Arabidopsis thaliana: one gene and its partners. The protein of the gene in region 3 interacts with the protein of the main gene of each other region in a pairwise test. Each region holds a gene or a part of one and is shown on either strand. Other genes may lie near its edges. The genes, in order: RSL2, AT4G30180, BEE1 and AT4G29100.

Region 1 (5,257 bases), on a different chromosome or scaffold from region 3:
TGCAACTTTTATCACCCTCTCTATGAGACACATTTAGAAGTAGTACAGTTTTTTTCGTTTTATTTGTTGTTTTTGATGGGTTTTTCAATAAATTCTAAGACTGAAATACTATAAAATTAGATATTCATTAGATTTCAATGCTATAAGGGTTTCATAATTGCTATTAAAATTGGCCGTTCAAAATATAGATAAAGTTGTAGAACAGTAGTTGTAATTTTTTTCTTCGCAACAGTAGTTTTAATTTGTCATAAATCCATCAATTAAGCAGAAATAAAAAATCAAATATCTGATATTGATTGCCATGAATATGATTGATTGCGATAATATTTTAGTGGGGAAATAAGTTGGATATGCTATTCCAGCCACTTTTAAATGCTTTGGACTATTAGATAGATATCTCAAGAAACTAATTTAATATCCTTTTATATATCATATATTCGAACTTTTGGCAAGGTATAACTGTTATTTTTATATACTATAAGGTCTAAACACAGCTATTGCATGGGAACAATTATACTTTTTTATAAATCCGACAGTGGAAAATCATATACGCAAAATTAGTACTGAATATTCCATTGTAAAATTATAAACTAAACATAAAGTATGAATTGGTCTCATTCATGAATATACGTGTGAGAAAGAAAATGTTGCGGCCGAAGTTTTTAAGTGGTCATATTTGATATTTCATCCTTCACAAATGAGTGCATTGATTAATTGATGAGCATTTGTTTTTCGCATCACAACTAATTTTGTAAAATAGGGTTTTACTCCTAGTGAAAAAGGATTTTCTTTGGAATGAACTTACCATTTTAATTAAGCCTAAAAAAAATGAAAACAAATTCCGCCTAAATATTAAATATCACACACATTTCAACCAAAATGATGTACATTCACATTTCTTAAATAGAAGTTACTTTGTTAAGTTATTATTAGCACATTCACATTTTCAACTATTACCTCTTTTGTCAGACCTTTCTTCATTCGTTTGTCAGACCTCTTCATTTTTTATTTTTTATTTTAATATTATAATAATAACTCTCCATTCATTAGGTATTCTTCGAACGGTGATCAGATTAAAAATAATCATATATGTCCCTTGATCATTAAATAAAACGGTGATCAGATTGAGTGTAAACTGTTTAAGGTATAGATCTTATGATCCTGATAAGTATTAAAACTATCGATTGAACAGATGAAACATAAGAATTGAAATGTAAATATGTGATATAAAAGAAAATGAAAGTATAAAAAAAATCGAACGTGACTCTCCATTTCTCTCATATTTGAACATCGTACGAGAATTTATAATCGAACTCGTCCGAAGGCGGAGAATATTAAAAAAGAAAAAGAATATTACATTTTTGGTTATATATAAGAGAAAATATCCAACTAAAATCACAAGTTTTCTGCTTCATCTCGGTGAGCTGAGACCAATGTCCATCCCATTGAAAGCAATCGGCGCATACATCCATAGATCATCAGAGCTCAATAACTGCGTAATTATATTTTAAAATATTAGTTAGATCATATTCATATAACAATTGAACGTACAAAAAAAAAACGATTTGTATTTAAAACCCTTGCTTACCTTAATTTGGAGCTGCAAAAATTTGACGTAATGAACTGCTTCCTCAAGCATTGTACTAATATCGACCTGTTACGTATTTAAGCAATTGTAAATGTTTAGAATCTTTATTAACAATTTCTTGTATAATTAATGAATTTGCATGTAAAAGAGCCATATCTTCTGCATGTTTAAACGTTTGCATGAGTTTTTTTTTTTACCTTTGTTCCATTGGGGACGAGATTTTGTAAAATCCTTAGTCTCTCGTTAATCCTTTCTCTTCTTTTCTGCACGACAAAAAAATAATAAAAAACCAAATTAATTTTTTGAAACATAATCTTCCATAAAAATTTGATATTTTATCTTTTTTGTGGGAAACAAACAAAGCAATTTACCCTTGCATAGAGGCTTTGAGGATCGGTGGCTGCACCACGACTGGCTCTTGTTTTACCATTGAGGTTGAGGGCCTTTGAGGGATCATCTTCCTTAGAGGATGAGTCTTCTCCTCCACCGTCTTGATCAGCGCAGTTTGATTCTTCCTCCGTACAGAAAGTGGTGCTTGAGTTCTGTCTACTCATCATTGCCCCATTCTTTCTTTTCTTCAACTTCGTCTCTCCTTCTTCCTCTTCTCCTTCATTGTTATCCCCACTCATCTCTACGTTCTTCTGGGCCCTCTTATTCACTCTTGCTCTCTTGTTTTTCTGAGTCCATGGCAAACCGTTTCTATATTAGTCACTAAACCAAATGTGATCTCTCTAGCTAATTGCCAACCAGTTCGAAAATTAAAGACTTACATCAGTAGATGTGGCACGGGATCTCTTTTTGGAGCCGGTGAGAGATTTTGTAGTAGTCACAGAGATCTCAGATTGCAACAAGCTTTCCTCGTCATCGTGGTTCTCCACTACGGTTTCCAAAGGCATAAGAGTCTTTCCAGAAGAGTATTTCTCAACGTCACACTCACTTGTCTCCTCACCAACAAGGTATGAGTTTGTATTGATGGTCACATCTTCCATCCCAAAGTCCATTGTCTCATTTTGGTTCTCTTCAACCGTGGGTGGAACAACGGTGTAATATCCGCTGTTCCCAGCGCTGTAGCTGCTGCTCTCTTGAGAGAAACAGAAGCTACCGGCTTCAGACACGAGGCTAAGGTGGTTGTGATGAGAACCAAGGTTCCAATACAAGCCTTGGTGGTCACCACTGGCTGCTGCGCCGGAGGATGAGCCGGTGCCAGGATGATCATAAGAGGCGAGAAGCTGGTTCATGAAATCGGCTTCCTCGGTTGCATAAGTGTACATTCCTCCGAGGTTGTTGCTCCATTCTCCCATGGCTTCCATTTTTATATGTTTTGTTAACTAAGCGTCTTAATTAAGAGATTAATCTTAATTAAGAAGATTGTTAGTTGGAAGTCTTGTGAGAAGTGAGGGAATGAGGAAGAGGAGTTGGAATGTATATATAGAGAACATGAGAGATAGTGGATAAATAAATGTCAACACATAATGACACTAGTTAATCATCTTTCTAATTAATTTGTAAATAACCAAGTCTGGGATACCATTAGATATGGACAGCTAATTATGGTGGGCTCTCTGCAACTTGGTCATCGAACATTAAGTTTAATATATATTTGTCGTTTGTCGTTTATGATTCTGCATTTCTGCTTGTTAATGGCTTCACTTATATATGTTAAATACATCGTTTTAAGTTAAAAACAAGATTATAGTTGGTTGATATACTAGTTCATATGAGAAATGATTGTGGTGGCCGTATTCACTGCATATTTAGGATCAAAATTGGAAGAGCTCTTAGCTTAGCTCATTATAATTTTATCGACTTCCATGTTTCGTTAGCATCCGAGTAATAAGAGATAAACAGATTTCTTAGCAAAAGTGTTTTTTGCAAACTCACTCGATGAAATAGTAGATGTGTTAAAAACTCATGAACGTATAGTTTATATTAATGAGTTTTTTTGCACACAACTATGATTCAAATTCTTGGGAACACTGAACTTACGGTTAGACCCCATAAACTGCTTTCTAATTGCGCCAATCCGTTGAGATCGCGAGTTTTGATGTTGAGTATCGAGTAAATACAATTCACAAGTGTTGATCCACCTTAAAAAAAACTTCATATCATAACGTCATATGATACCTATGATATGAATGTTTTTCCCCTAATGACATGTAGTTAGGTCCCCATATAGTTCAACCTGCCATGATATAAGCAAGACTTATTTTTATTTTAATAGTAAAAAAAAAAATTCTCCAATATTCTACATATAGTAAGAATATTCCTATATATTGATTAGCTATAAGTGTATTATAATTTATAGCTTAAACTAAAATTCTGCATAATTATACAACGCATTAAAGTATTAAGCATTTTTTACTTTACAAAGTAACAAACAATCGAGAAACTATTGGGTCTGAGTAGAAAGAATGATATTTTCCCACTCACCCGCTGACTAGAAAAAAAAATCAAAACTTATCCAAAATCCTTACAAATTTCAAATATATTATATTTAGATAGAAGCATATCCATATGCTATACGACTTCTAAAGAGAAATTATCTAACTAGAATACTGAATACCTATACAACACAAACACAAAGATATAGATTTATGTACATTGTCTCTTTCTACTTTTACATTTTTTTTCAATTTCTATATTTGTTGTCAGCTGTGTTTTTTTTCGAATATGCACTGACTAGATTTATGTGCTAATGTGATTAAAATAGATTACAAAATGATGCATACTCTATGGACCTAGACGGCTAGACATATTTCTCGTCTATTCGATGATTAAATCATGTAAAAATCTAACCTTGAACCAATCAATAACGGATTAAAGAGGTACGACGACTTACGAGAGAAAATTATTGCGTTTGTCAGTTTGTGTATTATGACAATACTTGGATTATCCTAATTTTTAGTTGTAATTATTATATCAAAACCGAAATAAACTAAGGAATGGAATATTTCGACATTAAGCGTAATTCACTTTTAGGTCAAGTTGATGCGAAATTAGAAACAAATGACAAATCAAGCCTATACTTTGAAAAACGCCAACTTGTAGTGACCCAAAAACCGGCCGGTTTTTTCCCATCTATTTTGTGATTTGAAGTTTTAATCTACATATATTGTTTAAATTTATTATTATTTTCTTTTGATATTGTGTTTTTGATGAAACATTTAAAAATTAACCATCTAATTTACGAAACTAAGAACACAAAAGCTCTTCCTCTAACGCCCTTGACAACTTAGTAGTTATTTTATATTAAAATAAGAATCGCGAAGTCTTTGGTTGCTTAAGTTGTCAAGTTCCATGGATAAAATAACTGTGTAGCAGAAAATAAAGAGTTCATGAGAATGAAAGAGAGAGAGAAAGGGATGTGAAATGGGAGAATCAGAGACCTGGTTGTTGAACGTGACAGTTTCTGCATCATATTAATGTTTTTAAAATAAGGGAGAAAGAATGATACTGAGTTATTTGGATTAACTATATTAAGTAATAATTGGTTAGGTTGAGTCAACCACTGGACGGCAGATCGTGCGCGTGGAAAGTCCAAAAGCTCATAAGCCATTCTTGTTATTAAAAAAAAAAACACTATCTATCTCAGTTAAATGTGTATGACATTTACTTCTACCATGTCTATGAAATTTACTTTCTGATCATGTAATACTTACTATGATTTAC
Region 2 (4,548 bases), on a different chromosome or scaffold from region 3:
TGTTCCTTTTTTACTAAATGTTAAGTTAAAAGAGCTATTTGAAAAACAAAATAAAATGCAGAAAAAAAAAGGATGTGAAGGAGGATGCGACTCGTAGTTGCAATTTCCACCAGATACAAGGAAATCTTTACTGCGTTTCCCCTGTCCCATTCTTAGTTTTTTATTACATTATTTGTACAACACAATAGTTTAATTTATATAAAGATTCCTGCCAAATAGTTTGACATTATGATATGCGTCCTTCGTTTTTAATTATTTCTGAACATTATGTTAAATGCCCTTCGTTCTTGTTTAAATCTTATATATATGAATGTTTTATTAACAAGCCAACAAAAATAAACGTGTGTGTTACATAATAATACCTAGAGAGCTAGACATTAAAAAACCTCTATACGTATATGGATGAAACAAATGATACAGATTGTTAAGCCATTTAGAAAATCCGTGGAAGTGCAAAATGGTTGAAAATGGGTGCTGGATTATGTTTATTTTTTGGTCTTAATCGAGAAAAATATAATAGTTATCTTGTATTTTATTCGTATGAAGTCTCTTTTACTATATTATCATCATATCATGGTGGATTATACATTTTTAAATATATTTAAGGGAACTAAGCATAAGTGATATGTTAAACCTCGATCCTTTTTAAAGTAACTTTTTATCTATCCTCTAAATTTTACGTAATGCTAAAATTTTGATCACGAAGACAGGACATTACATATGAGATATATAGCCATATAGGCAGTGTTCTTTTCTACTCTCAATAAACGAAGATGTTGTAGAAAGAAATGTTAAAGTGAGTGCACGTGGAGACATTTGCGAAGAAAATAGCTCCAAATTAAGAATACAAACAAAACACTCGAATTCAAACCCACATGAGATGTGTCCCTCCCAAATCCCAATCCAAGCCATATCTTTTTCTCCTCTATCTGGGTCCGCTTCTCATATTATTGTTGCTTACACCTTTTTAATTCAGTTTAACTATTTCTTTTTAAAAAACTTATATAAAGAAGAGAAAACAAAATTTAAGAACAGCACAAACAAGTCATAACATGCCATCTACAATATTCGATAGAAATCTCCACAGACCTTGTACAATTCATTCTGACAGTTTTGTACGATTTCTTTGTGGTTCATACTGCAGACAAAATAGTTCTATACTATTTTAATATTATTGGCATTAGTTGGTTGTATTCATTATTGTTCCTTTATATATCTTTTTACGTAAAGATACTGTTGAATAATTACGAATCTGGTTTTACCTAGCTTGATTGTGTGATTGGAAAGAGTTACATTTAATTCGGTCATTTTTTCAACGTGGATTGTCAAAGGTGGAAAACCATTAAGCAAAATTCCAAGAAACTTTTATGATTATATGCATTATTGTTCAATGTCTACTATAGGTGTGAATGTCTAGTATCTATTTTGGTATCCACATCTATTAGTTTGCATCTCAATTTCTTTCTCCTCTTAGATTATATATATATATATATATATATCCAATATATATATATATATTATTTCGTTTGTTTTTAACTAGAAAATTCCTCTACCTTTATGTACTTTTATCTACTTGTATTTAGTAAAGTTTATAGATTAATTAATTTCATCTAGATGGGTTACCATTAACACATGTTTTCCACATTCAATCAAAGGTTATGGGATTGCATTAAAATATAATACGAGAAAACATCACATTCTAACAAAAAAAAAGATTATTTACAAAAGAGAAATAAAATTTCCTTGCTGCATTGATTGATAATCTACTAACCCTTGACTTTTTTTGTGTGGTAGGATAAAGAACACAACAAAACCAATAAGAGATCATTCAGTTTTGGCTATTAACAACAAAAGCTAGTAACGTGTATATTGCATGTATCAAACACTATAAGATTAAGAGACAACTTGTAATGTCTCAACCGCCCATGTTTAGTAGTTATAGATATTGTTTGGACATTTTATTGTTATTATTATTATTATTATTATTATATATATATATATATATATATATCTAAATGATTCGGTATATATTTTAAAAAATAAAAATAAAATAACAAATGAGTAACACCCAGACTTTCATATCATATCAAAGGTGACCTTTTGTGTCAACATAAACTATATTTATCTATTTACAAATCCTATAGGAAAAATTAAAGTCATCTTTAAACCTGGAATGCAATGATGCTTAGAATCAAAAAATCACGACTAAAAGTCCTTGACAAATAAAACGTATTAATAACCCAATTACTGACCACATGCATCTTAACTTTATGTTAATATGCGTAGTAAAGAAACTTGTATCTACGTCATATTAGTTACAGTGGCAGTAAAATTCAGTTTCAAAGATGTTTGTCTTGATATGTTGTACAGATCACCAATTGAACTACCACTAATAATAACTAAATTTCTGTTTAGCAAGTTACCATCTGTATCCAAATATCGCAAAAGTAGTGGGTAGTGAAACCCAAATTCATCACACATGCAGCATAAAAAAAAAGAAGGTCAAATGGTATATATAATATGAGGGAGATCTATATTAAGATAATATGGGTAGAAATGACATAGATTGATCAAACTAATTAGGAGATTGGTCCAAGGACACATACACATGCATACATGTATTATGTATATACAAAGTGTGTGAGTGAGTGAGTGAGAGAGAGAGAGGTTAAGAGGAAGGAACATGTGAAAGCATTAAGAGAAGGTGGGGTTTTGTATTGATGTCTTGTTCTTGGAATGGAGCCACATGGTAAAAGGGTCTCTCAAAGCACCTCTTTAGGGGTAGTTGTGATGCAGCCAAATTAGAGCTCTTGCATGTGACTCCATGTGTTTTTTCTTCCCTCACCCATTATTATTCCCAAATTCTTCTTTTCTTATTTTTCTCTCTTTATTTATGTATATATATATATATATATATATATATACACACTCTCTTTTTGTTTTCGTGTATTTTCTAAAAATAAATGTATTATACAAAAAAACATATATTAGTTGATGATATTCAAATTCCGTTGTTTTTAAAATATTTGTCTAAAAAAGAAAACTACTAACTACGACTTTCAAATAGTCTTGTGTTTTGTACGTGAACGAAAAATAATAACACTCCCAAACATATTACCTCATATATGTATACAAAGAAAATTAAGTTCTACAACTTTACTTTATACATCATCAACGCTTGTTATATACAAACAAACGTAGGACACCGCTCTTCTCTTTCTTTGTCTCTCTCATATTCTAAGTTTGCTATATATGTAACTTTCTCCCTTGTAGACTTTCATTTGCAGCAAAAATAGTTTCTCATATGGAGAGGCAAATCATAAACAGGAAGAAACGAGTGTTTTCTCTTGAACCAAACAAGAACCCTAGTGCAGTTTTCACGAGAAAATACACAAGCCACTTGGTTCCTGCACTCAAGAAGCTCAACATGAACAAGAACTCTTCAAAACAAACCGTGAAGCATGAAGTAGATATGGCTTTGGCTTTGTCTGCTCAAGAATTTGCATGGAGCCGTTTCTTGCTGCAGAAGCTATCGTCCTCATCGAATCCAACCACTACCACTAGTTCTTCTTCCGATGGAATTCGGATTCTTGAAAGACCCGATAAAGAAGGCGGAAACGAAGAAGGAGGGATAGAGGAGAGACTGAGGGAATTGAAGAAGCTTTTGCCAGGTGGGGAAGAGATGAATGTGGAAGAAATGTTGAGTGAGATTGGTAACTACATTAAATGTCTTGAGTTGCAGACGATTGCTCTCAAGTCCATTGTTCAAGATAGTACTTGACTTTTAGTTTAAGTGTATAATTTATAGTTTGTTTCATGTTTTTTTTGTTGTCTTTAAACGAAAATCATCTGTGTTTTTTTTTTTCTCTTGATTTCTTTAAGAACAAGAGCATGTATTATAGTGTTTTTCTTTTTTCCTTTTCTTAATTAATCATGGTTACCGAAATACCTAAAGTACCACACATGGCCGTTTATACGTACATCTTATAAAATTCGATCAAAATCTGATTGAAATTTAAATTATTGGTTGTAATGCCAAATAGACGATGTGCTGCCTAAAATAAAACTCTTATGTTGTCTTTTTTTCCTGAATTTATTATTTTAATGTTATGAGCAAATCTCCAAACTTTAATATTCTAATCATTTTAACCTGACAAACTTTGTGTTTGTGTATATATTTATATTCCTGCAAGTTTTTTTTCTCCTTTAGCGAAAACATATGAACTTTCGACTACAAAAAATCAGATGTAACAAATCTTCAATTAAATAAAAGCTACACATTAGTAGAGATCACCAATATGTTCCAGCTGCAGTAACTACAGGTGCACCATTAAAATGTAAACAAAAATTAGGACTACTGGACTAGAATTACTTTCCAAAAAATTCGATGAATATGAAAAACAAAACGCCGAAATTGTAAATATCTAAAAAGGAGGAAAGTTGGATGACATATGTGTAAACTATGAAAGTCATAACATTGATTTGAAGTCATCATCCATATCTTTGCACGTGTCTCACAGTCACTCGCACGCATCCAAATCTCTCTAT
Region 3 (6,221 bases):
TACACCATACTAATCTCGGGTAAATTACGTAATACCTGCATTACAAAGATAAAACTTAAACCTCGGCTACGACCTGCCATGCATATGGAATGAGTACTAGCTAGTGTCCAAAATGTCATAAAAAAAATTATAATAAAAAAAAAAAATCAGAAATAAAGAAACATGTATAGAGAGAATAACAGAAAGACAAAAGTGTATTATTATACCCTCACTTTCTTTATATATACGATCATACAAATATCTGAATTGTTCTATCAATCATAAAGATTATGAATAGGCAACATCCGTAAGATCCTGTGAAGTGAACCGTCGCTATTAGAATTATTTTTGAAAAAAATATGAAATATATAAGAGATATTCATATATGGATAATAAGAGAGACCACAAAAGAGGAAGGAAGTCTCAAGAGATTGGTTGTTCGTCTGTAAAACACGTCCATAGGCTTCGCATCACAATTTACTATTTTGTCTCTGTTTTTGGTTTGGGAGACACACATCATTGTCTTTGGAAAGCTACAGAAGTGAAGGGTGTTTTTGTTAATTTACACCGACAAAGTCTCTTTGGTTCCATAACTCCTCTTCGTTACCAAACCTTGCGCAACTTGCCTCTTCCAGTTTATCGTATATGTAACTATGCCTTTCTCGCTGAAAAAGGAAAATGTTTTTAGTAACCAAAAGCAAATTACATATGAATGGAAATATAATCCCTTAACAAGAACATATCGTTTTATATTATAAACTAATCTTCATTTTTAGTAATTCTATAGCCGAAGCCGTTTTTAACCCACTTTACGTAGGAAAGTGAAGTGGAACTCTAGACATCAAAAGCACATGCATGTCTGTAATCAGACTAAGAACTCTCGACCCTAAAATTAATAAACTAAAATCAATATTTAAACCGACTGGTAACGCTCATTTCTTTTTGTTATAAAGACTAATCACATTTCATTGAAGATTTGGTAATATATACAATTTACAATTGATTTCTCTCTTCCCATCATCGTCAATTCACTCATCAACACTTTGACATATGAGCTAATTCATCCATGATTTATAACTTCATTTGCAGAAACAAAATAAAAAAATTCTGTTGAATTTTATTTCTGATCATTTCATAACTTAAGAGGACAATTACATAAGAGGAAAAGGAAAAAGGTGCCAAGCAAACGAAATAGCAAAGCGAAAAGGGAGAGGACAACTGAGATATTTACATGACAATTATAAGTCACCAATAAATTTATATCGTCGAAATTACAAGTATACAGATTACAAATATTATCCCAAGTTGGGTCGTATATATGACATATCGCATCCAAATAAATAGAAGAATAATTTCGAAAACAATAAAAAAGAAGGAAAAGAGAAAAGAGAAAACAAAAGTCAAAGGGACCATGTTGATAAATGGAAGACAGGACTCCCATCTCTTGTTTGTCTCCCCATCTCCACTGTCTCACGTGCCTTTGCTCTCTGCCAATTGTATTCCATTCATATTATTCAATACTAATAGAAATACTTTATCACGTTAAAATAAAGTAATTGTCATAACAACAACTAGTTAGACTTAAACCATGCAAATATAATGCCAAAAAAAAAGAGACTACTTAAACCAATAAACCATACAAGATCAATTATGCAAAGGCTGGATTTGACCTGTCGAACATATTTTAATTGCGGGTCATATAGTCCGCGTGATCATATATTATAGTCTAATAAGATTGAATCTAAACTACAAACACTTGTATTTTTGAATAAATCTTTGTAGAACCGACTCGATCAAAACATACCGGACCCATTACAACATCTCTACCAGACTACCACTAATTAATTATATATATGCTTATCTTAAGAATTGAAAAACATTATTAGAATGTTCTAGTACCTGCATGGAATCAACTGCATCTGTCTCTGAGTTAAAGTCATAAAACGAACTTGCTGCAGTGAGTTTCATCGAGAGGAACTGAAATCCACAAAAAACATGAAACAAAATTGAGTAATTTATAAAATTAAAGCTTGTGTTTTGGAAGTTTTTTAAAGTGTGTGGTAAGATTTTCGTTTTTTTTTTGTAATTTTCGAATATCTAAGATTTGCCGTGTTTCGGAAAGTACTACTAAAGTAGGTATTTACCGAACCTCCCATCTCATGAAACCTCCATTTTCTAGTTTTTTTTTTCTTTCTCCAAAATACAAGAAGACAAAGTCTTATTGATATATGTAGTTTATGATTACAACTTAAATTATTTACCTCGACTTGATTCTGTAGAGACTGGACATAATTAATTATCTCGTCAAGCATCGTAGCCATTCCCATAGCCTGCACCCACCAAACATACACTTTCATTATAAGAAGTAAGCACCACTAAATCAATAGAAAATCACATCACTTTTTCTACAATTTTTTTTCTGAGTTCTTTGTAAACAAAAAAAACAAAAAAAAATCCGAAGAACAATTTTCGGAAAATATTATGAGCGGTATCAAAGAAAAAAGCTAAAATCACACTCATGCATGTTAAAAATACTTTTGGATACATATGTTCTTGTTTAACTAAAAGTATCACTTTTATCATAAAATGCTTAAATTTGATTCAAGTATAATTAGTGACAATTAATGCCGATGATGACCTTTTCATATGCTATTTATTGTTTAATGGCCATTAGTTTCTATTTTGATTACAAATATATTAAAAAAGAAGTAATGAAAAGTTGAAAATGTTAAACTATTATATTTATCTTTGCATTATTACCTTATAACATCCGGGCACCATATCTTGCAAGCATCTTAATCTCTCGTTTATTTTCCCTCGCCGAACCTGAAATTTTGATATAGAGTGTAGACATGTATATAAATTTAAATGAATACACCACGTTTATAAAAAAAATGAATTTATATAGACAATTTAAGCAATTTTACCCGTTCTGCTAAGCTGTGGCTATCAGTGGCTTGGCCTCTTCTGGCTCTCACATGAACAACTTCTCTCTCTTTCTCGTCTTCTTCTTCCTTCTTCTTCTTCAACCTCTTACCTCTTCTCAAAGAACCCTAGATATTTTTTAGACAATAAAAGTAATTATTTTAAACGAACTTTTTAATGATAAGTTATGAAAATGATAAGATAATTAGCTAGGGTTTCGAGATCAATTACTGTTTCAGTGGCAATAACATTCGTATTATCGGAGACGCCGCTAGTCTCTGATGAAGACAAAGTAGGTAACAAAGCTTTTCTCTTCTTGGTCTCATCGACGATGTTGTGATCACTATGGAGGAAACTTGAAGTTGAAGAGAAATTGTTACTACTGTCTGGAGAGTTTCCGGGAAAGTGAAGTAATTGTTGTTGATGATGATGAAGGAAGAGCGATTCGAGAGAAGTAGAGGAAGGATGAAATGTTTGAAAATGAAGGTTACTGTTGTTGTTGTTTAGATCTGCAGCTTGAGTTATGGAAGAATATATATCCATGGCTATTGTCTGAAAATCAGAAGAAAGATTCTCGAAATTTGCCATAATATAATGAATTGAGATATGATCTTCTTGACACTTTTTTTTTTTTTTTTTTCTGACAACTTCTTTAGACTGGTTGATACAAAACTTGAGACTTTTATATTGTTCGATTGGATTTTTTTATTAATTTAATTTATGATTTTAGAAAAAGAAATGTGGAGAAAATTAAGAAAGAAAAAGAGAGAAATAAAGGGAGAGCCACGTGGGCAAGTGAACGTTCTGGGATTTGTGTGTCGGGGAGATATGTCCAAACAAGGAAAAGTAGGACCAATGTTTGGTCGTGGGTTCCATTAGGCTTTCTCTGTTTGCAAGGGGGAAGAACATTTCTAGTCAGTTTGGTGTGAGGTTAAGAACTAGTGGTCTATCTTTAAATTTATTATTAATATTGGGAAGAAAATATTGAAATGGATGTAGCTAGTCAAACTAAGTTGATATCAAAACTTGTTTTAATGAAAACATCCATTAATGTTTTGCATGGAGGGTTTTTTATGTAGGTGTATAGGGTAAGAGATCACATCCATTTGCCAACTTAATTATAACTTCCAAATGGCCAATGCCAATTAATCGACAAAAATACTATAAATATGTGTATGTATAAAAATATAGGGAGATAAACGAAAGTATATATGAAGGTTCTTTTACATAAGTTGACGCCAATTTATGAATCTTTAGTTAAAGTTTAAGTTACCAAATTATTTATATTGGTGAAGACAAATTTTCACTTTAATCGGCATACTAGAGATTTCCTTTGTTTGTCCTTGTGATGATCAAACACATTGAGTTTTAGGAAAGAGTTTTTTTTTTTTTTTTTTTTTCTTCCTTTTAGGAAAGAGTTAGGTTGCAACAAATGTCAATGTTTAGTTGGGCCATTACTATAGATTATCTATTATGTATGGTGGAGGGATTTGATTCACATGCAATTTCATTCATTCAAGACAACTTACTCTTTAACTTGTTCATTAATAGAAGTAGTAAAGCATCCATGCCCAAATTGGTGTGCTTTAATTAGGAAATTTTGGAAACAGAAGTTTTTTTTTTTTTTCTCTGAAAGTGTCTTTCATTAAAACTTCATAGATGCAGGTCTTACATTGTGATTGCAGCAGTGGACTTTCCACTTACATTGGAAACAGAAGATAAGCTCAATATACATATATATATTCTTCTGACGTTAAATTGGTGGATAGTCATCGCCGTCGCTGAGCTGGCGTTACTTAATTACCATCATTATTTTGATGTCTCAAATATTTTTACCTTTTCCGTAAAAAAATAAAATTAACCACTAATAAAAAAATAGTTTCAGTTGGCAGCAAATAGCAATACAAAATTGCTGATTTAGTCCGGTCAGGCCCAATCACGAAGTTTTGTATGTTACGGTCCCTCTCTAGGTGGAATCGGAACAAGATCATCATTATATACATTCCCAAAAATATCATCTAATACAGAACACGAACACCATTCTCTAACTGTTAACTGACAATTTTAAACATACAAATAATAAACACATACAATGTTAGTGGCCGTGCGACTAATTTTACTTACTGTCCCATTTCACAATGACACTATCTGGAGACTGTGCAACCAACGGTCCACTCTTGTTCACATCTACAACATCCATTTCCGAACCAAATCCATTGTTCTGTATCCTCGTCAACGTATCCTGCACGTGCGACATACATGGCCTAAGATCTTTATCCGACTGCAAGCATTGGAACGCCAGCTCAGCGACAGCGATCACCGTCTGTCTCACTCTTGTATCCGTGTCAAACCCAAGTGACGGATCCACCATGTCGCGGAGCTCGTGGTTCTGGATTTTAACGACTGCCATGTTCGAGAGGTTGATCTCTTGGCGCGGTCTTGTGATGTCGACTGCTGGAAGTGAAGAGATAAGCTCCATTAACACTACCGCAAAGCTGTACACGTCGCTTTTGTTTGAGAGTTGATAGCATAAGTGGTAATCCGGGTCGACATATCCCGGAGTTCCTTGTGGAGCGGTAGATACGTGCGTTTTATCCATAGGAAACAGTCTAGAGAGTCCAAAATCCGCAACCTAAAATGTCGAAAACAGTAAAAAAAACACAGAAAGAAGTTAAGATTATGATCCGATAAAATCCCACCAGATTGAGTAATAACCAGTGTGAGTTACTGACCTTGACATTGAAGTTTTGGTCGAGAAGGATGTTGTTGGATTTAACATCACGGTGGATGATCTTGGAGGCGTGGAGATACTTCAAGGCAGAGGCAGTTTCAACAGCGATTTTGAGCCGAATAGACCAAGGAAGTGAGCTAGGGTTTGCCTGTGGACCATGTAGATGATCAGCTAACGTGCCGTTTGCAACATACTCATACACTAGCAGTAAGTCCCGGCTCTGTTTTGAGGAGCATCCAAAGAGAGCCACGAGGTTTGGATGGCGTAAACCCGTTAAGATCTCAACTTCATTCCTGAATTGCTCTGCTCTTTTGAAGTTGTTATCGTATAACCGTTTAACGGCTACGCTTCGTCCATCTTTAAGCTTACCGTAATAGACAGTACCAAAGCCTCCATCACCGAGTTCTTTAGATGGGTCGAAGTTATTAGTGGCTTCTTCAAGTTCTTCGTAAGAGAAAATATGAACTCCGACTAATAATTCCTCTGCTTTCTCGATGTCAAAAGACTTTGCAGATGGATCTGATGAGATGTTTCTTGGAAGCAATGCTGAAGAATTTCTGTAACTTTTTGTTTTTCTACGATGGTA
Region 4 (7,665 bases), on a different chromosome or scaffold from region 3:
TCATCCACTGCAAAAGATAAAGTATATTAATCATATGTTTGTTTATTGGTATGGAGCATGCATTCTTTTACACATAAGAAAACAATGCATAATTATTGATCCGAATAGTACTCTACCAAAACGATGTATTTATAGTCTTATAGATTTTAATTGACAAAACTGAACCGGCGTTACTCGAACCACATGCGTATTAAAAAAGTGCGTGTTATGTCAAAACTCGTAAGGCAAACGCATCGAATAAGGGAGCCAAGCGATAACTGGACAAAGATTATTTGGTTGGGCTTAAGAGATGGGCCGTGTCTGTTGTATTGAGCGTTTTTAGTTTACGAGAAAATTGTTACAAATTGACATGGAAATAACATCAGTAATTAGTAATTACATTCCATGCCAATTTGACCATTATTTCGTGTTGTTACAACTCACAAATTACTATCATTCTATCAGATCAACTTGGTGTCTATATACGATCCATTTTCTAAGTCTCAACAGTCGAATTCATGATTCACAAAATAACCAAACCTTCAATTTATAATCGTTTCCAATCCCAAAATCAAGCCATGGACGCCAAGAACACCAAAGCTGATGGAGCCAAGAATTTTGGTACGAGTGGCGGAAGCGGTGGTTCTGGTAGCACTTCCGACATCGGTAAAACAATGGTTGCTCCTGGATCTGGTGGACGACAAAGCGTTTAGAGGGAGGCTTTTGAGAGCAACCCTAAGAAGTTCTTTGATGATCGTAACTTCAAAGAGAAGAAATGAACCGTTTAAATGAAGAGCAAGTTCTCAAAAAGTGATGATATATCTTGTTTCTTATTTTCTTCTTTGTTAGTGATCCTCCAAGGCTCCACTAGTTCACACATATGGTGGAGTGAAGTAAAATAATTATCAATAATAATTAATAAGATTCATAATTTCTGAACTTTTTCGTTCTTTTTCTTTTTTCATTGTGGATGATCATTTACGTGAATTAAGAACTACGCATGAAAAAGGCAAACGAAGTAACTTATATCGATATTTTCCGGCACACTTTTTTATTTTAATGGTCTGCATGTCGTATATATCCCACACAATAGACATATTATAAGTAATAGCAAAATTATAACGATACAAACCACGTGGAAGTAATTAAAATAAGTACTTAACCACAAATTACAATTAACCGGTAAAAGAAAACAAACAGTTTCCTAAAGCAAGAACATAAATTGATCACTTGGTCATATCATCTGATAACGCATCAAATGATGAAACGCCAAACGCATATTCATCAGACGCCAGACGCAAATTCTCTAGCAAAGTTTTAAACGAAGAACTTTGTATAGCATCATGAGCAATCAGCCTTGGAAACTCAATTTGTTGTTTTCTCAGTAGACTGACTGCTCGTGATGTTATATCATTTTTCTCTAACGCTGGAATTCCACGTGGCGTAATTTCATTGGCTCAATGGAAACCGGCGGAGCCAAGTGCTGGAGCCCAATAGTCCGCGCCGTTGTCGCTGCCTACTTGGAGTGTGCATGAGATTGGGACAAGACATAAACCTCGACTTCTCAGATCTTTCTTAGGCTCTTCACTTGCATTTTGATTGTCCGTAGATGACGACGAAGCTCCTCTTCTCTTCATGCACTGATCGTTCACGAGCTAAAACCATATCAAAAAAAAAAAAAAACAATCATGATATATAGCATTGATTAACAAAAAAAGTAAACACATGTTCTCTAACACCTATATAAAGAGGTGATAAGAAAAAAAATCATTGAATTTCCCCTAGTGAAAAGCATATATAAAACCCCGCCAAAGGAATTTGAATTTCACTTAGATGAAGAAAACAAGTAAGGAGAAAAAGTTGATATTTAAATAAATTTAGTGGCTTTGTTGGTTTTAACGAACTTTTTTGGTTTATAATAATGTAAGGGAGGGTGAAAAAAAAGCTGGCCGCTGCATCTTTTAATATTAATCCAACTTTACTTTAAAGAAAACAGTAGAAAAGAAAAAAAACAAAAGAAAAAAAAGGATAAATTTTGGAAACTAAAGCTGTCCACATTTTTTAGATTTGGATTCAATTGATCCAATAAAAAGTATAGTGACTCTAATTATATATTAAAAGTATAGTGACCAAGAAAAAATGGACGTACCTGACCAGGGTCCTCAGGAAATATGCAACTCCTATCTCCTTGCAACTATTCATATAAACCATAGTTAAGACTTAAGAGATAATATATAAGTATAAAAAGTTTCGTGTAGGTTATCGAAAAAGAAGAAGTTAAGGGTATAAAACGATAGCATGATGATTTGTTTGTGTATATCAGTATATATACGAAAATTTGCTACTTACATGTTGTTGGTGCCTCATATTCCCCGAGGCAGTCGTACCAAAGTATGGATGACTCAGAGCCTGCAACAGTGCAACAGTTGCAAAAAGTCATAAATACTTTATATATAATCACATCAATCAAATATTACTTAACATGGAGAGAACAAAACTTTATACTACTATCTTTATTCTTTCTTATATAATATCATTATGCTTTATTCTGTAATTTATTTCTCAGTAATCACAACCTTTTTTTCTTCTTTTTTTTTTTGGTAAACGGAGTAATCATAAGCATTATTTTTATTTTACTGAATGAGAATATTTGGAGTTTGGAAAAGACGAGTCACACCTCAATTTGACTCTGAAGGAATCTAATGTATCCAATAGCTTCCGACAGGACAGAGGCTGTGTCAGTCTGCAAAAGATGGGTAAAAAGGGATGAAGAATGATTTAGATTTTAGATTAACAAGAATGAAACTAAAAAAATCTCCACAATTAATGTTAAAAGTTGATTTGATAGAGGAATATTAGACGACATTAATAAATTTGATTTGTTAATGGAATCGATCTTTACCTTTCCAAATGGAGATACTAGCTGATGAAGCGCTGCGATTCGGCCTCCTAGTTTCTCCTTTCTCACCTTTAATTACCACCATAGATTAATTAATAGCATCAATTAAAAAGCTTTCTATATATATGTGCATGTGTGGTCATATTATTTTTACTAATTACCATGCATAGAGAAAACGTGCTTACTTAGCATGTACAAGTGATAAACAATTATTTTACTTTCACTAGTATATATAATTATCATGATATTATTGAATCCAATGTCTAATGCGACTCTTCCATTTCTACGTTTCAAAACAAGTTACAGAAAAAAACAAAACTTTTAAATCTCTTTTTTTTTTTGACAGAACTTTGAAATCTCTCAAAATGTCCATATTCTATAAAATAAAATTTATTACATATAGTGTCGTCTAATTCTAAGGAGAATGTTGAAATTTATTAATTTAAGTTTGATTTTTATGAAATAAAGAGAGGAAAGGAATATTGAAGAATGAAGAAGAAGACAAAACAGGAGAGAACAAAAGAGTTACAAAACACAAAACCACACAGCTTATTCTGTGCCCATTCTGTTTTGTTTGCTTCTTCTGTTCTCCTTTGTGTTTGTGTTTTTGTTTTGTTAGTATGATGTCAGGGAGGGAATTTATATACAGAAAACGTTATATAAGTTATCCAAAGTTTCGTTGATATAATCAATTAGTTACCTTGAGGGTTGATTGTGACGAAGGAGAAGGTTGGAGCCTTGGCTTCTTATTAGTAGACCCACCAATCTCTAAGCTGTTACACTGCATCACATATATAGATAACAAACAAAACAAAGATCAATTAGTCATTTAATCAAAAAAAATTCAGAGCAAAACTCATCCTGGTTGCGTGTTGAATTTAGATCCAAACCTTAAAATAAAATATGTTGTCCTGATCTTTTTAAATGACGTTTTAGATTTCACTTTTTCATAGTAGTTGATGTGTTTACTAATTTATGTGTAAAACTAGATATTATTTCCGAGCTTTTTCCGTATATTATCAAAATCTCTGAGATGTGGAAAAAGTGTTACCTCAGAGGATCGATCCGGAGGAGTGTGTCTCCCTTCTGACAAGTGAAGACCATTGTGATTGCTAGAGAAATCCAACATATTATTATTGTTGTTGATGTTATCGTCGTTACTATTGAGGCTTGTTGTGGTAGTTGTTGTAACACAAGATTTGTTAGGAGGTGAGTTCGGGGAAGATATGACATAGCCATTGTTGTTGTTAATGTTACCCTCTTGTTTGATGTCAACAGCCACCATGGAAGCTTGTTGGTGGCTTAACACTTGTTCTTCCCAATTCTCCAATCTTATCTTCCCTTGAAAACCATGGTGTTGTTGTTCATCATGATGATTATGATGGTTCATCATCTCCAATCTCTCTTCCTCTCCCATCATCAATCCACCCCTAAGTTCACAAAGAAAATATCCAAAATATTAGATTGTTTGTTTGATACTTAAAATACAAACACATACATGTATATACGTATATACGTATAACAAAAAGGTAATTAGGACTAAGTAGCAACACACGAGAAAACAAAGAGTGAACTAGTAAGTAAACACAAGATCATGTCATGTGCGTATAGAGAATATTTCATTTTGGAATATTTATAGAGGGAGAGAGATAGAGGGATAGTTACAAAAGAAGTTGGCTAAGGCTCCAAGACTCAGGAGGGAGATCATTGCTTTCAAGCCAAGAAGAGAGATTAGGGTTATTAGGCAAAGACGGTGAAGAAGAAGAGGAAGAAGAAGAAGTCGCCGGAGATGGCAAGAAGTGCGGGAAGGGAGTGGGCATCATCCGTGGTCGGAGATAATTGTTATTAGGAGTCATATGTGGTGGCAACGGCGCCTGCTGATGACCCATCAACGGTGGTGGTGGCCTCATGCCGCCGCTTACGTTCCACCAATTAGGGTTTCCGGCTGCCATCAGCTGCTGAACCGGCGAACTCTCCAACACACCTCTATTCATCACCTTTTATCTCTACTCTCTCTCTCTCTATAGATCTCTTTATGTGTTTACTAATCAGAGGCTTTGGAGAAACGTTGAGAAGTGTTTGATTCTTTAGCTTAAGTAGTTTTAGAGAAGAGAAAGAGAGAGAAAACTCAAAACTAACTTAAATTTTGATCTCATTTGATAACATGTGATGTTAATTTTTTTGGAATTTTTATTTTTGTTTTTTAATTTTGTCTTTTTCCTCCCTCTTTTTTTCGTTCCTTTAATTTTTCTTTTCTATTTTTTTAGATTTATTTGATTGTATATCATATATTTACTTTTTTCCCATGCTTTTTTCCATGCTTTAGCTTTATCTTAAAGTGGGGCAGAGAAAGGTGGTAGCTACTTTTATTATTTAAATTAATACATGAGTTGAGAAAACAAGCAGAAAATATTTTTAAATCAAAGAAAAGGATTATTCGAATATTTTATATACGGTGTATAAATTTTTCGAATATATATTACATATAATTAAATAAATTTTTGGTTATATCACAACTCACAAGTGTCTTGCATCTATGATCTATGCATTCGCCTTTTGATCGAATGTAAATGAATTATCCTTTTTTTTATCCCTATTTTTTTCATTCTTGTAACTTGTTGAATTTTGTTTTTCTGATTAGTAAGATTGCTTCTTTGATCTAACGGTTTAGATTAGCTAACTAGTTCTAAACTTGCAATGATTATATCCTGGGCCAAATACTAGTGTTTTTATTTATAGGTACTAGCCGAGCCAACAATATTTTTTTCTTTCTTTTTGCTTATTTCCTCACTGTATACTAATTAAAAGTGACAAAAAAATTCAATAAAATACGACGGCGTCGTTGTATTATATGTCACATATACCTTTAAAATCACGCAGCTATATGCTTTTTTTAATAACATAGTAATGTTTGTACTTTTAGTTTATTAGTATTTGTTTGTTTTGTTTTGTTAAATAAGTACTTGAATTCGTTAGTATGGACTTTAAAGAACACTGAGTAATAGCATTTATAAATGATTCCAATAATAAAAACTATAATTTTATAGAATAAAATAATAATAATTCCATAGTCAAAAATCATATCCAATTACAAAAAGGTAAGAAAATTAAAGACAAGAACGATTCTGGTATTATTTTCAACGAAAGATTCTATTTTTGCTGACGTAAAAAGTACTGAATTGTGTTGCGTAGGGTTTTCTGTAATTGTAACAATGCAAATACATCTAACGAACTCTGTACTTAACTAATCAATTACATAAAAACGAGTCACAACGTCGGTATGCGACTTTATTACATTTTTTTTTTCACTGCGACTTTATTACATATATGATCAAGTTGCTCTCAACATTTTTATATAATAATTAATTAGCAAAAAAAAACATTTTCTAAAAGTGATACTATATATATATATTTTTTCTCTCATTTTCGTTGAAAGGTAAAGGTAAGAACATATATGTCTTGATATCATTTCATCGTGGAATAAAGTCACTGTGGATTTTTGTATATTGTGTTTTGAAAAATATTCTCAAAGATGTTTTCAGCGTATGGAAGATGTTAGTATCAAAATAACAAAATATTTTTAACATAAACTGAGGACAAAAATTATGAGACATGTAAAAAAAAAAACTTATTTTGCAAAATTTTTAAAACATGTTATTTTAAAAAACTAAGTATAATCTTAATCAACGACTATAATTACCTTTACAGTTTTCTTTTTACTGATAATATAAAAAATATATTTCAAATCAGAGAAATTTTGTTAAAACTGTTTACTATATGTTAAATGTTCCTTGTCCTAAAATAAATAGATATACTAAACATTCTTAACATGACATAGTATTTTTTGGATTGTGTATTTACTTTAGAATGAAAAAATGTATCAAACAGTTTTCTATAGATAAGCGTAATAAAATATGTGCACATGTAGGTGCGATTGTATTTGTGTGTATACAAACAATTGTTCGTTCTTTATTTCACTCTGTTAGACACAAGATGACGAGAGCATTGTGTCATATGACGCATACACTTAATTTTAAATTCTAACCTGAACGAGTCATTTTTTTTGTCCAAGCATGATCAGAAAAATACAAATTAACAATAAATACCATTTTTTTTTGCCTACAACGAAGAAGACCAGTAATCTCGAAGGAATCAATGTCCTAGGGTTTGGAGATCCCTAATATTCTGTTTCCCAGTGATTTCAATTTCCAAGAAATCCTTACATATACTTGTAATATACGAGTCAGAAAACATACAATACAATACAATCCTATATTTCGTATTTATTACCGGGACTACAACTAGAAGTGAGATCTTTAACTTAGTCCAGGACATTCACAACTGGTCATCGAAATTCTCTTCAACGATTTTTCTTTACAAGAGGCGAAACTGTAATAGTGTAGTCCAAAGTTTGACAAAACTAGGATGTAACTCTTGCAATTTCTATTTAGACTCTGTAACCAAGCCAATATGGTGGATAAACTTAGCATTTAATGATGAAATGATTATGTGTAATGCTACCTGTAAATTCCACCATTTCCATGCACATTTTTGTAAGATTTTTCTGACTACTTTCCTATCATATGTTATATTAGTTGGAAAATGGTTTTTACGAAAATCAATCACTTTCCCAACTATAGATTTAAGAAAAGTTTCGTTTATTTTTATTATCGTCATAAACTGATCAAAAATATTAAAACGAAAAAAAATCTCAAAATAAATCTTCGGAGAAAAATTTAAAGTTAGTCTGGACATCTTAATACTCCTTAGACATCTCAAAATATTAC

What was found.
Region 1: the proteins of BEE1 (region 3) and RSL2 interact in a two-hybrid assay, tested with the Arabidopsis thaliana proteins (one large-scale study listed by BioGRID).
Region 2: the proteins of BEE1 (region 3) and AT4G30180 interact in a two-hybrid assay, tested with the Arabidopsis thaliana proteins (one large-scale study listed by BioGRID).
Region 4: the proteins of BEE1 (region 3) and AT4G29100 interact in a two-hybrid assay, tested with the Arabidopsis thaliana proteins (one large-scale study listed by BioGRID).

Annotation. Positions count from the first base shown.
Region 1 is NC_003075.7:16,238,155-16,243,411, forward strand, and holds RSL2 (ROOT HAIR DEFECTIVE 6-LIKE 2), read right to left. Parts: upstream 3,016-5,257; 5' UTR 2,899-3,015; coding exon 2,359-2,898; intron 2,266-2,358; coding exon 1,960-2,265; intron 1,852-1,959; coding exon 1,786-1,851; intron 1,655-1,785; coding exon 1,589-1,654; intron 1,493-1,588; coding exon 1,412-1,492; 3' UTR 1,209-1,411; downstream 1-1,208. UniProt on the Arabidopsis thaliana protein: Transcription factor involved in the regulation of root hair elongation. Does not seem to be a direct transcriptional target of RHD6 and RSL1. Involved in the regulation of root hair elongation in response to low phosphate.
Region 2 is NC_003075.7:14,765,724-14,770,271, forward strand, and holds AT4G30180 (uncharacterized protein), read left to right. Parts: upstream 1-3,060; 5' UTR 3,061-3,304; coding exon 3,305-3,781; 3' UTR 3,782-4,048; downstream 4,049-4,548.
Region 3 is NC_003070.9:6,328,735-6,334,955, reverse strand, and holds BEE1 (BR enhanced expression 1), read right to left. Parts: upstream 3,559-6,221; 5' UTR 3,493-3,558; coding exon 3,136-3,492; intron 3,033-3,135; coding exon 2,907-3,032; intron 2,806-2,906; coding exon 2,740-2,805; intron 2,310-2,739; coding exon 2,241-2,309; intron 1,957-2,240; coding exon 1,879-1,956; coding exon of another isoform or gene 1,837-1,878; exon of another isoform or gene 1,467-1,836; coding exon 1,380-1,466; 3' UTR 1,100-1,379; downstream 1-1,099. Other genes in the region: AT1G18390 (Serine/Threonine kinase family catalytic domain protein), read right to left, coding at 5,021-5,536, 5,637-6,221. UniProt on the Arabidopsis thaliana protein: Positive regulator of brassinosteroid signaling.
Region 4 is NC_003075.7:14,338,347-14,346,011, reverse strand, and holds AT4G29100 (basic helix-loop-helix (bHLH) DNA-binding superfamily protein), read right to left. Parts: upstream 5,048-7,665; 5' UTR 4,873-5,047; coding exon 4,544-4,872; intron 4,309-4,543; coding exon 3,930-4,308; intron 3,660-3,929; coding exon 3,579-3,659; intron 2,948-3,578; coding exon 2,882-2,947; intron 2,723-2,881; coding exon 2,657-2,722; intron 2,389-2,656; coding exon 2,329-2,388; intron 2,174-2,328; coding exon 2,129-2,173; coding exon of another isoform or gene 2,087-2,128; exon of another isoform or gene 1,635-2,086; coding exon 1,437-1,634; 3' UTR 999-1,436; downstream 1-998.